Macaca fascicularis: one gene and its partner. The protein of the gene in region 2 binds, or shares a complex with, the protein of the main gene of each other region. Links are inferred from orthologs where the notes say so. Each region holds a gene or a part of one and is shown on either strand. Other genes may lie near its edges.

What was found.
Region 1: the proteins of AP2M1 (region 2) and P2RX4 are in contact, whole or in part, in a crystal structure (PDB 2BP5), measured with the Rattus norvegicus proteins. The link is inferred for Macaca fascicularis from reciprocal best matches to the Homo sapiens genes AP2M1 and P2RX4. Residues at the interface, in NP_446289.1 of Rattus norvegicus: Phe174, Leu175, Asp176, Lys203, Asn217, Leu316, Ala317, Gln318, Lys319, Glu391, Val392, Pro393, Lys400, Val401, Arg402, Tyr403, Leu404, Ile419, Lys420, Trp421, Val422, Arg423, Tyr424, Ile425; in NP_113782.2 of Rattus norvegicus: Val375, Glu376, Asp377, Tyr378, Glu379, Gln380, Gly381, Leu382, Ser383, Gly384.

Annotation. Positions count from the first base shown.
Region 1 is NC_088385.1:128,288,944-128,293,491, reverse strand, and holds the start of P2RX4 (P2X purinoceptor 4), read right to left. Parts: upstream 2,804-4,548; coding exon 2,670-2,803; intron 1-2,669. UniProt on the Homo sapiens protein: ATP-gated nonselective transmembrane cation channel permeable to potassium, sodium and calcium. CTP, but not GTP or UTP, functions as a weak affinity agonist for P2RX4.
Region 2 is NC_088376.1:96,100,459-96,104,132, forward strand, and holds the end of AP2M1 (AP-2 complex subunit mu), read left to right. Parts: coding exon 1-58; intron 59-531; coding exon 532-651; intron 652-747; coding exon 748-883; intron 884-986; coding exon 987-1,084; intron 1,085-1,555; coding exon 1,556-1,667; intron 1,668-2,280; coding exon 2,281-2,415; 3' UTR 2,416-2,895; downstream 2,896-3,674.

The DNA of each region.
Region 1 (4,548 bases), on a different chromosome or scaffold from region 2:
AAGCTGCAGGGGAGCTCCTGCCCCCAAATGCTTCAAGTCCAACCAGGGATGTGAGTTCAATTCACTGGCTAGCAGTGGGTCTCAAATATATATATGTGTGTGTATATATACACATATGTGTGTGTGTATATATATAATACGTATACATATATATTTTTGAGATGGAGTTTTGCTCTTGTGGCTCAGGCTGGAGTGCAGTGGCGCAATCTCGGCTCACTGCAACCTCCACCTCCTGGATTCAAGCGATTCTCCTGCCTCAGCCTCCCAAGTAGCTGGGATTACAGGCCTCAGCTAATTTTTTGATTAGGCCCGGCTAATTTTTTGTACTTTTAGTAGAGACGGGGTTTCACCATGTTGGTCAGGCTGGTCTCAAACTCCTGACCTCACCTGCCTCGGCCTCCTAAAATGCTGGGATTATAGGCATGAGCCACTGCGCTCGGCCAAAAAAAAAAAATTTTTTTTTTTGTTTTACACAACTCCATCAGTAAAATTTACCATTTTAACCTTTATTTTTCTTTTGGAGATGGAGTGTTGTCCAGGCTGGTCTTGAGCTCCTGGCCTCAAGCAATCCTCCCATCTTGGCCTTCCAAAGCACTGGGACTACAGGTGGGAGCCAATGAGTCCAAATCTGGGTGTGGGCCAGGTGGTTCTGATGTTGAGTCTGCACCTGGAAAGCCATCCTCTTGAATACTGTCTGTACCTACTGCTGCTGCTGACAGATATTGGAAGCCAAACCTGCTCCGTCATGGGAATTCCCTTGGGCAGTGTTAAGATTCCAAACCTCACCCCAAAGAGGGGGATTTGTTGCTTTTAAACAATTCCGCACATGAGTCTTCCACGATCAGGTAAACTTGGGAAACACAGTTCATTGGTTCCCAAACGTTGCTGAACATCAGAATCACCTGGGCACCTGATCATACTCTACAGCAATTAAATCAGAAGGTCTGGGTAGGCGTCGGGGCGCGGTGGCTCATGCCTGTAATCCCAGCACTCTGGGAGGCGGAGGCGGGTGGATCACCTGAGGTCAGGAGTTCGAGAACAGCCTGGACAACATGGCAAAACCCCATCTCTACTAAAAATACAAAAATTAGCCGGGCATGGTGGTGGGCGCCTGTAAATCCTAGCTACTCGGGAGGCTGAAGCAGGAGAATCGCTTGAACCGGGGAGGTGGAGGTTGCAGTGAGTCTAGATTGCACCACTGCACTCCAGCGTGGGCGACAGAGGGAGACTCCATCTTTAAAAAAAAAAAAAAAAGGGTCTGGGGACGGGAGCCAAGGATTCTCAGATGGTTCCAATGTGCAGTTTGGGGACCACTGCACTAGGCAATACGTGTCAGCCCAGCAGCTGTAGACACAAGAACACCCCAGGTAAGCCTTTAAAGTGGCCCCAGGTGGCAAGGAATTCTCATCTTCTCTCTTGGATTGTATTCAATAGTAACAGGTGCCAGCTGGGCGCGGGGCTCACACCTCTAATCCCAGCACTTTGGGAGGCTGAGGTGGGCGGATCACCTGAGGTCAGTTCAGGACCAGCCTGGCTAACATGGTGAAACCCCGTCTCTACTAAAAAATACAAAAATTGGCCGGGCGTGGTGGCGGGCACCAGTAATCCCTGCCACTCGGGAGACTGAGACAGAATTGCTTGAACCCGGGAGGCGGAGGTTGCAGTGAGCCGAGATCGTGTCATTGCACTTCAGCCCGGGCGACGAGAGAAACTCCGTCTCAAAAAACAAAACAAAACAAAAAAACCAAAAAAAACAAACAGGTGCCTTCAAGTACAATGGCACATTCAGCCAGGCCTGAGGGCGGCAGGGCATCTCTAGCCTAAGGGCGCAGCATGGGGAATGAATGACTAGGCCAGGGCAGGTACCATAAAAGCCCCACAATCCCACAAAACAAAGGAAGCAAACTTTAACTACTCTTGAAGTCTGACCTCGCTACTACCACATAGTGATACTGCCTAGTGATCAAAAGAAATGACCAGAAGCCACCGACCCAGAAGGAACCAAGCGGAAATTCCAAGCTTTGGTTTTGTCGGCAAATCAGCAGGATGGGAAGTGGAGAGCGAAGATTGAGACGTTCAGGGCGAAGCCCCTACAGCCAAGGGGCACTCTGGGGGGTCAGACAGGAGAGAGTAACGGCCTAGCCAGGCTTTGCCTTTATTTATTTTGTAAAGAGCAGGGTCTCGGACTGTCTCCCAGGCTCGAGTTAAGTGGTGTGATCATAGCTCACTGCAGCCTCAGCCTCTTGGGCTCAAGCGATCCTCCCACCTCAGTCTCCTGAGTAGCTGGGACCCCAGGCGCGCGCCACCAGGCCCGGCGGATTTTTAGTTTTTTGCAGAGACGGGGTCCCACGATGCTGCCCAAACTGGTTTCGAACTCCTGGGCTCAGGCGATAGTCCCGCCTCGGGCTCCCAAAGTGCTGGGATTACAGGCGTGCGCCACCGCGCCCGGCCCTGGCTATGGCTTTGAAACAGCAGCAAGCAGCCTCCCGCCCCCGGGGCCCGGCGCGGCGGCTGGGGCCCAGGGAAGGTGTCACCGCCTTGGCTCGCCGCCCCCGCACTCGCCCAGGTGACCGAAGCCGGGATGAGCCGCCGCACGGGGCGGACCCGAGGGTAGCCCCCGCCGCGTCCCCCGCGGCGCCCCCCGCCCGGCCCCGCGCGGCCGCGCTCACCCGATGACGTAGGCCAGGATGAGCAGCTGCACGGCGCGGTTCATGAGCCCCACTTTGCGGCTGCGGATGAGCACGATGCGCGGCGTGTCGTACTCGAACAGGAAGGCCGCCAGCGCGGCGCAGCAGCCCGCCATGGCCACACCGCCTGCTCCCCGTCCCCGAGCCCGTCTGGGTCCCAGTCCCCGCTCGGAGCCCCGCCCAGTCCGCCCGGCCTGCCAGCAGCGCCGTCATCATGGGGAGGGCCCGGAAGGAGGCGGCACCGGGCGGTCGGGGCCCGGGGCCTAGGGGAGGGCGCCACCTCCCCGTCTGGAACTGTGACCCTCTAGGGGGCATGGAACTCGCGGGGAGGGGGTGGCCTTGCCCTTGGCCTTGAGGACGAAAGGCTCCTTCAAAAGGCTGGCGAGGGGCCGGGCGCGGTGGCTCACACCTGTCATCCCAGCAGTTTCGGAGGCCGAGGTGAGAGGATCCTTTGAGTTAGAGACCAGCCTGGACAACATAGCGAGACCTCGTCTCTATCAAACAAACAAACAACAAAACAAACAAAACACAAAAGCAAAGAAGCCGGGCGTAGTGGCGCTCGCCTGTGGTCCCAGGTACTCGGGAGGCTGAGGTGAGAGGATCGCTTGATCCCGGGAGGTCGAGGCTGCCGTGAGCTGTGATGGCGCCACTGCACCCCAGTCTGTGAGATGAAGCGAGACCCTGCCTCAAAAAACCAGGAACCAAAAAACATCAAAAAAGGCGAGTTGGGGAGTGATGACCTTCGCAGGAGGGCCAGGGAGAACAAGAGACCCTTTCGGGGAAGATGGGGGCCGCTTCTCATTTGGGACCGAGTTCGAGTGAGGGGTAACAAGCGACCTCCCTTAGGGGTCCAGATAGGTGCCAGGGACTTCCGTAGAGGACCTGGGGGCTGTGCGGAGCAGCCATCGTTCACCAGTGCAGGCTCCTACACTGGGGGAGCTGGGGCCGCACTGTGCTCAGCCTCTTGGGGAACGGCCTAAGTATCAGGTGTCCTGTGAGCCCTGGGTGAGAGCCACACGCCCTGTAAAATGCCCCTCCTGGATTTGAAGCCTGGCCGCATTCTCACTCCAATTCAGATACTTCCTTAGTTGCAGCCCAGGGGAGATTATTCTGTGGTCATCCTTTCCACTGAGAAAACGCTATCACAACTTTAGGGGAGAATTGAGAAATAGCAAAAGTGGGGAAAACAGCCAGCGTTCTACCCCATGAATACAGTTTTCCGTATGTATATTTGTTCATTCCCTTCAGATATGCTTTCCTTTTCTTTCTTTCTTTTTTTTTTTTTTTGGAGACCGAGTTTTACTCTTGTCCAGGCTGGAGTTCAGTAGCACCATCTCGGCTCACTGCAACCTCCACCTCCCAGGTTCAAGCAATTCTCTTGCCTCAGCCTCTTGAGTAGCTGGGATTACAAGCGCCCGCCACCACACCCAGCTAATTTTTGTATTTTCAGTAGAGACAGGTTTTCACCATGTTGGCCAGGCTGGTCTCCAGCTCCTGACCTCCCATGATCTGCCCTCCTCGGGCTTGGGATTACAGGCATGAGCCACTGCGCCTGGCCCAGATATGTTTTCATAGATGAATGTTATATTTAGTTTCCCTAATGCATTCAGAAAATATTAATAAGCACATCCCATATGCCAGGTACTGTCCAGTGAACAGGACAAGCAAAATATCCTGCCTTCATGCAGCATAAATTCCAGCAGGTAATTGGTATAAAGTTTTGGTTTGTAATCACAGTCAATGGCTGTGCTTTTCATTTTCTGATTCCCACTACTTGGTTTCTATATTACTGCAGACTCATCATAATAATTTTTAATCCATGGGCCATTTCTTCTGGAAAATATACCATGATGCCTGTAAC
Region 2 (3,674 bases):
ATGACAAGATTGTTATTGAAAAGCAGGGCAAAGGCACAGCTGATGAAACAAGCAAGAGGTGCCTGAGGCAGGAGAGCTGGTGGGAAAGGGTGTCCCTTGGAGGGCTCGGTGGGGTCTAGTGAACCACAAGTTTCTTCTGGATTTCATTCCCACTGTAATTGCAAACTCTGTTCCTGACGGTAAGCCTGGCTGTTCGCTCTTGACATTGGTGCTAAGAGAGATGAGGGGACTGTCCTCAGAGCAAGCCCCTTTTTTTGGTCCCTAGGACCAAGGCCTCTTCTGTACATACTGATAGCCTCCTCTGCCCAGTGTGCCTGAAACACCCAGGTCCCAAGCAGCAGGGCCCCCAAGAGATGAGTTTACAAGGTTTCCCTCTCATCCCAAGCTCTGGGGCAGACCTCTGAGTCAGAAAGCTGCATTCTAGCAGCTTTTCATAGTCTCTGGTGCCAGCCTGGGGTGGAGTGGTCTCCCAGCGTGACACCTGTCATTCTCCTGTACCAATGAGACCTCCTCTTCTGCCCCTGCTTGCAGTGGGAAGCAATCAATTGCCATTGATGACTGCACCTTCCACCAGTGTGTACGACTCAGCAAGTTTGACTCTGAACGCAGCATCAGCTTTATCCCACCAGATGGAGAGTTTGAGCTTATGAGGTGCCATTGGGGTGTGAAGAGGCAGCCAGTGCTGCTGGCAGATTGGGGAGAGGAAGTGGGTCAGCTCTTTGGTAACCTTGCTTCCCATCCCTTAAGGTATCGCACAACCAAGGACATCATCCTTCCCTTCCGGGTGATCCCGCTAGTGCGAGAAGTGGGACGCACCAAACTGGAGGTCAAGGTGGTCATCAAGTCCAACTTTAAACCCTCACTCCTGGCTCAGAAGATTGAGGTGAGGACAGGGGGCTTGGGGAGGAGGAAGAACTTGTCCCTAGGAATAAAGGCAGCTGATGTCACAGCTTGACAGAGCTCCCTGACAGGTGTGTCACTTCTAGGTGAGGATCCCAACCCCACTGAACACAAGTGGGGTGCAGGTGATCTGCATGAAGGGGAAGGCCAAGTACAAGGCCAGCGAGAATGCCATCGTGTGGAAGTGAGTCTTTCCTTCATTAGGCCACAGCAGGTTCAAGATCCCAGTGTACCCTCTTGTTTTCACCTTTGATCCTTCTGAATGAGGGGTGGGGGAGTGTGCCTCTTTGCTTTTCTAGGAGCCTCTGCTTGTACTGTCAGCCTTTATGCCTCCATGTGAGTATGTACACGCCTGCATTTGGGTTCATGCACGTGCTTATTTTTTAAGATGCTTTGGCATTTCCCTGCTTGCCTTTGTAATGTATCTGTGAAGCTGACAAAGCAAAGATAGCATGCCCAAGTGTCTAGGCAGAAACTGCATCCTGTTGTCCTAAAGAAGTAGACCCAAGCTTCCATAGCAAGTAGTTAGCAGGGTCCTGACCACTTCTTGTTGTGGCACCTCCTGCAAGCTCCTGGGCGTGCTCCTTAAAATGGGCAACTGCCCTTGAAACTTCTCCAAGCTACAATGGGCTGCCTGTTGTCCCTGTGTTCCTAGGATCAAGCGCATGGCAGGCATGAAGGAATCGCAGATCAGCGCAGAGATTGAGCTTCTGCCTACCAACGACAAGAAGAAATGGGCTCGACCCCCCATTTCCATGAACTTTGAGGTATGGCAGAGGAGGGGCCTAGAGTCATGCCAGGGTATGCTGGAAAAGCTCTTAGAGATCATTCCGATAAACCGCTGCACCTTAGAGGTGAGGAAACTGAGGCCTAGAAAGAAGAACTGGCTTTAATTCATAGATCCATTCTTCCCCTTTCAAGCCTCTTAGTAGAAGTTACTATTCATAGTGAGGCAAATCTTTCACTTCTCTTAGCTTGTCCTAACACAGTTCTTTCGAAAAACTTAGATTGTTTAAATGCCAGGTAAGACACAAAGTTTACTTACAGACAGGATAATGGACTGACTTTGCTTTGTGCATGTTAGACATAATTTTCTCCACCTTATTTTTAAGTTCATAATATTGAGCAGGATAAGTATGTTCTAAAGCAGTTCATTGGTTGCTGTCTCCTGCTGATGAAAGGAACTGATTCCGGGTGTCACTGGCAGGGCTTTCTTCTTCAGCCACCTCTTAGAGGGTCCCTCACCACCCCAGCTTCTTTAAGGACCCCAGCCATTCAAACACCTGTAGTAGAGATGAAGTAGAGCAGGGCAACGGGACTTCCCAGAGGAGAGCAGCTGTAAGAGGAAGGCCACATTTCTAACGAGCTGTCCTTGCCCAGGTGCCATTTGCGCCCTCTGGCCTCAAGGTGCGCTACTTGAAGGTATTTGAACCGAAGCTGAACTACAGCGACCATGATGTCATCAAATGGGTGCGCTACATTGGCCGCAGCGGCATTTATGAAACTCGCTGCTAGCTGCCACTAGGCAGCTAGCCCACCTCCCCACCCACCCTCTTCAACAGGTCCAGGTGCCGCTCCCTCTCCCACCACACATCAGTGTCTCCTCCCTCCTGCTTTGCTGCCTTCCCTTTGCACCAGCCCCTGAGTCTAGGTCTGGGCCAAGCACATTGCAAGTGGGACTGGTGGAGTAGCCCCTGGGCTCCCTGGACAGGGAAGTTCTGAGGCTCCTGCTCTCCCCTCCACCTGTCTGTCCTGGCCTAGTGCCAGGCTCTGAGTTCTGTGACCAAAGCCAGGTGGGTTCCCTTTCCTTCCCACGCCTGTGGCCGCACCTCTGGAGTGGGAGGGTCGGTTGCACCCCTCACCTCAGAGCTCTCCCAAAGGCCAGTAACGGATCCCCAGCCCTCAGTCCCTAGTCTGCTTTGGGATAGTGTGAGCTTCATTTTGTACACGTGTGACTTCGTCCAGTTATAAACCCAATAAACTCTGTAGAGTGGAGTTGCTGGCTAAGTGTTGATGTGGGAGCTACGTGGGGAGGGAACTGGTGTTGCTCTCCCCGCAGTTTTCTGTTCTGAATACTCTAAAAGCTCTTTCCTTGTCTTGTCCCAGTTAGGTGTCTCCTGGGCCATCCAAGCCCCTATCCTTGTGGGTTTTGGGCCCAGGTTTTCTGGCTCCTCTAAGAAAGCCTCAAGGGCAAGCAGCCTCAGCAGGCCCCAGTACCCTGGGGGTAGATCTTTCCCTAGCTCTTTTTTATTCCCCCTGGTCCTCGGACTCCTAGGCTCAAGAGATCTTTAGCCTAGGCAGCCTCTGGAGTAGCTGGGATTACAAGCACGCGCCACCACAGCACCCAGCTCTTTCTCTAATTCTTAGGCAGATGTTTTCTAATTAGATTAGGTATAGATTAAGTGAAGTTTACGTTTGGTCTTATAGCCATCCTAAGAAATTGACCTTTTAATTCCATCATTTACCCATGCTTCCCAAATCTTGCTGAGTGGGTGGTAGGAGGAAAGATTTGCAAGCAGAATAATACAATGGACTGGGTGCGGTGGCTCACACTGTAACCCCAGCGCTTTGGTAGCCAAGGTGGGTGGATCACCTGAGGTCAGGAATTCAAGACCAGCCTGACCAACATGGAGAAACCCTGTCTGTACTAAAATTACAAAATGAGTTGGGCATGGTGGTGCATGTCTGTAATCCCAGCTGTTCGGGAGGCTGAGGCAGGAGAATGGCTTGAACCCAGGAGGTGGAGGTTGCAGTGAGCCAAGATCGCGCCATTG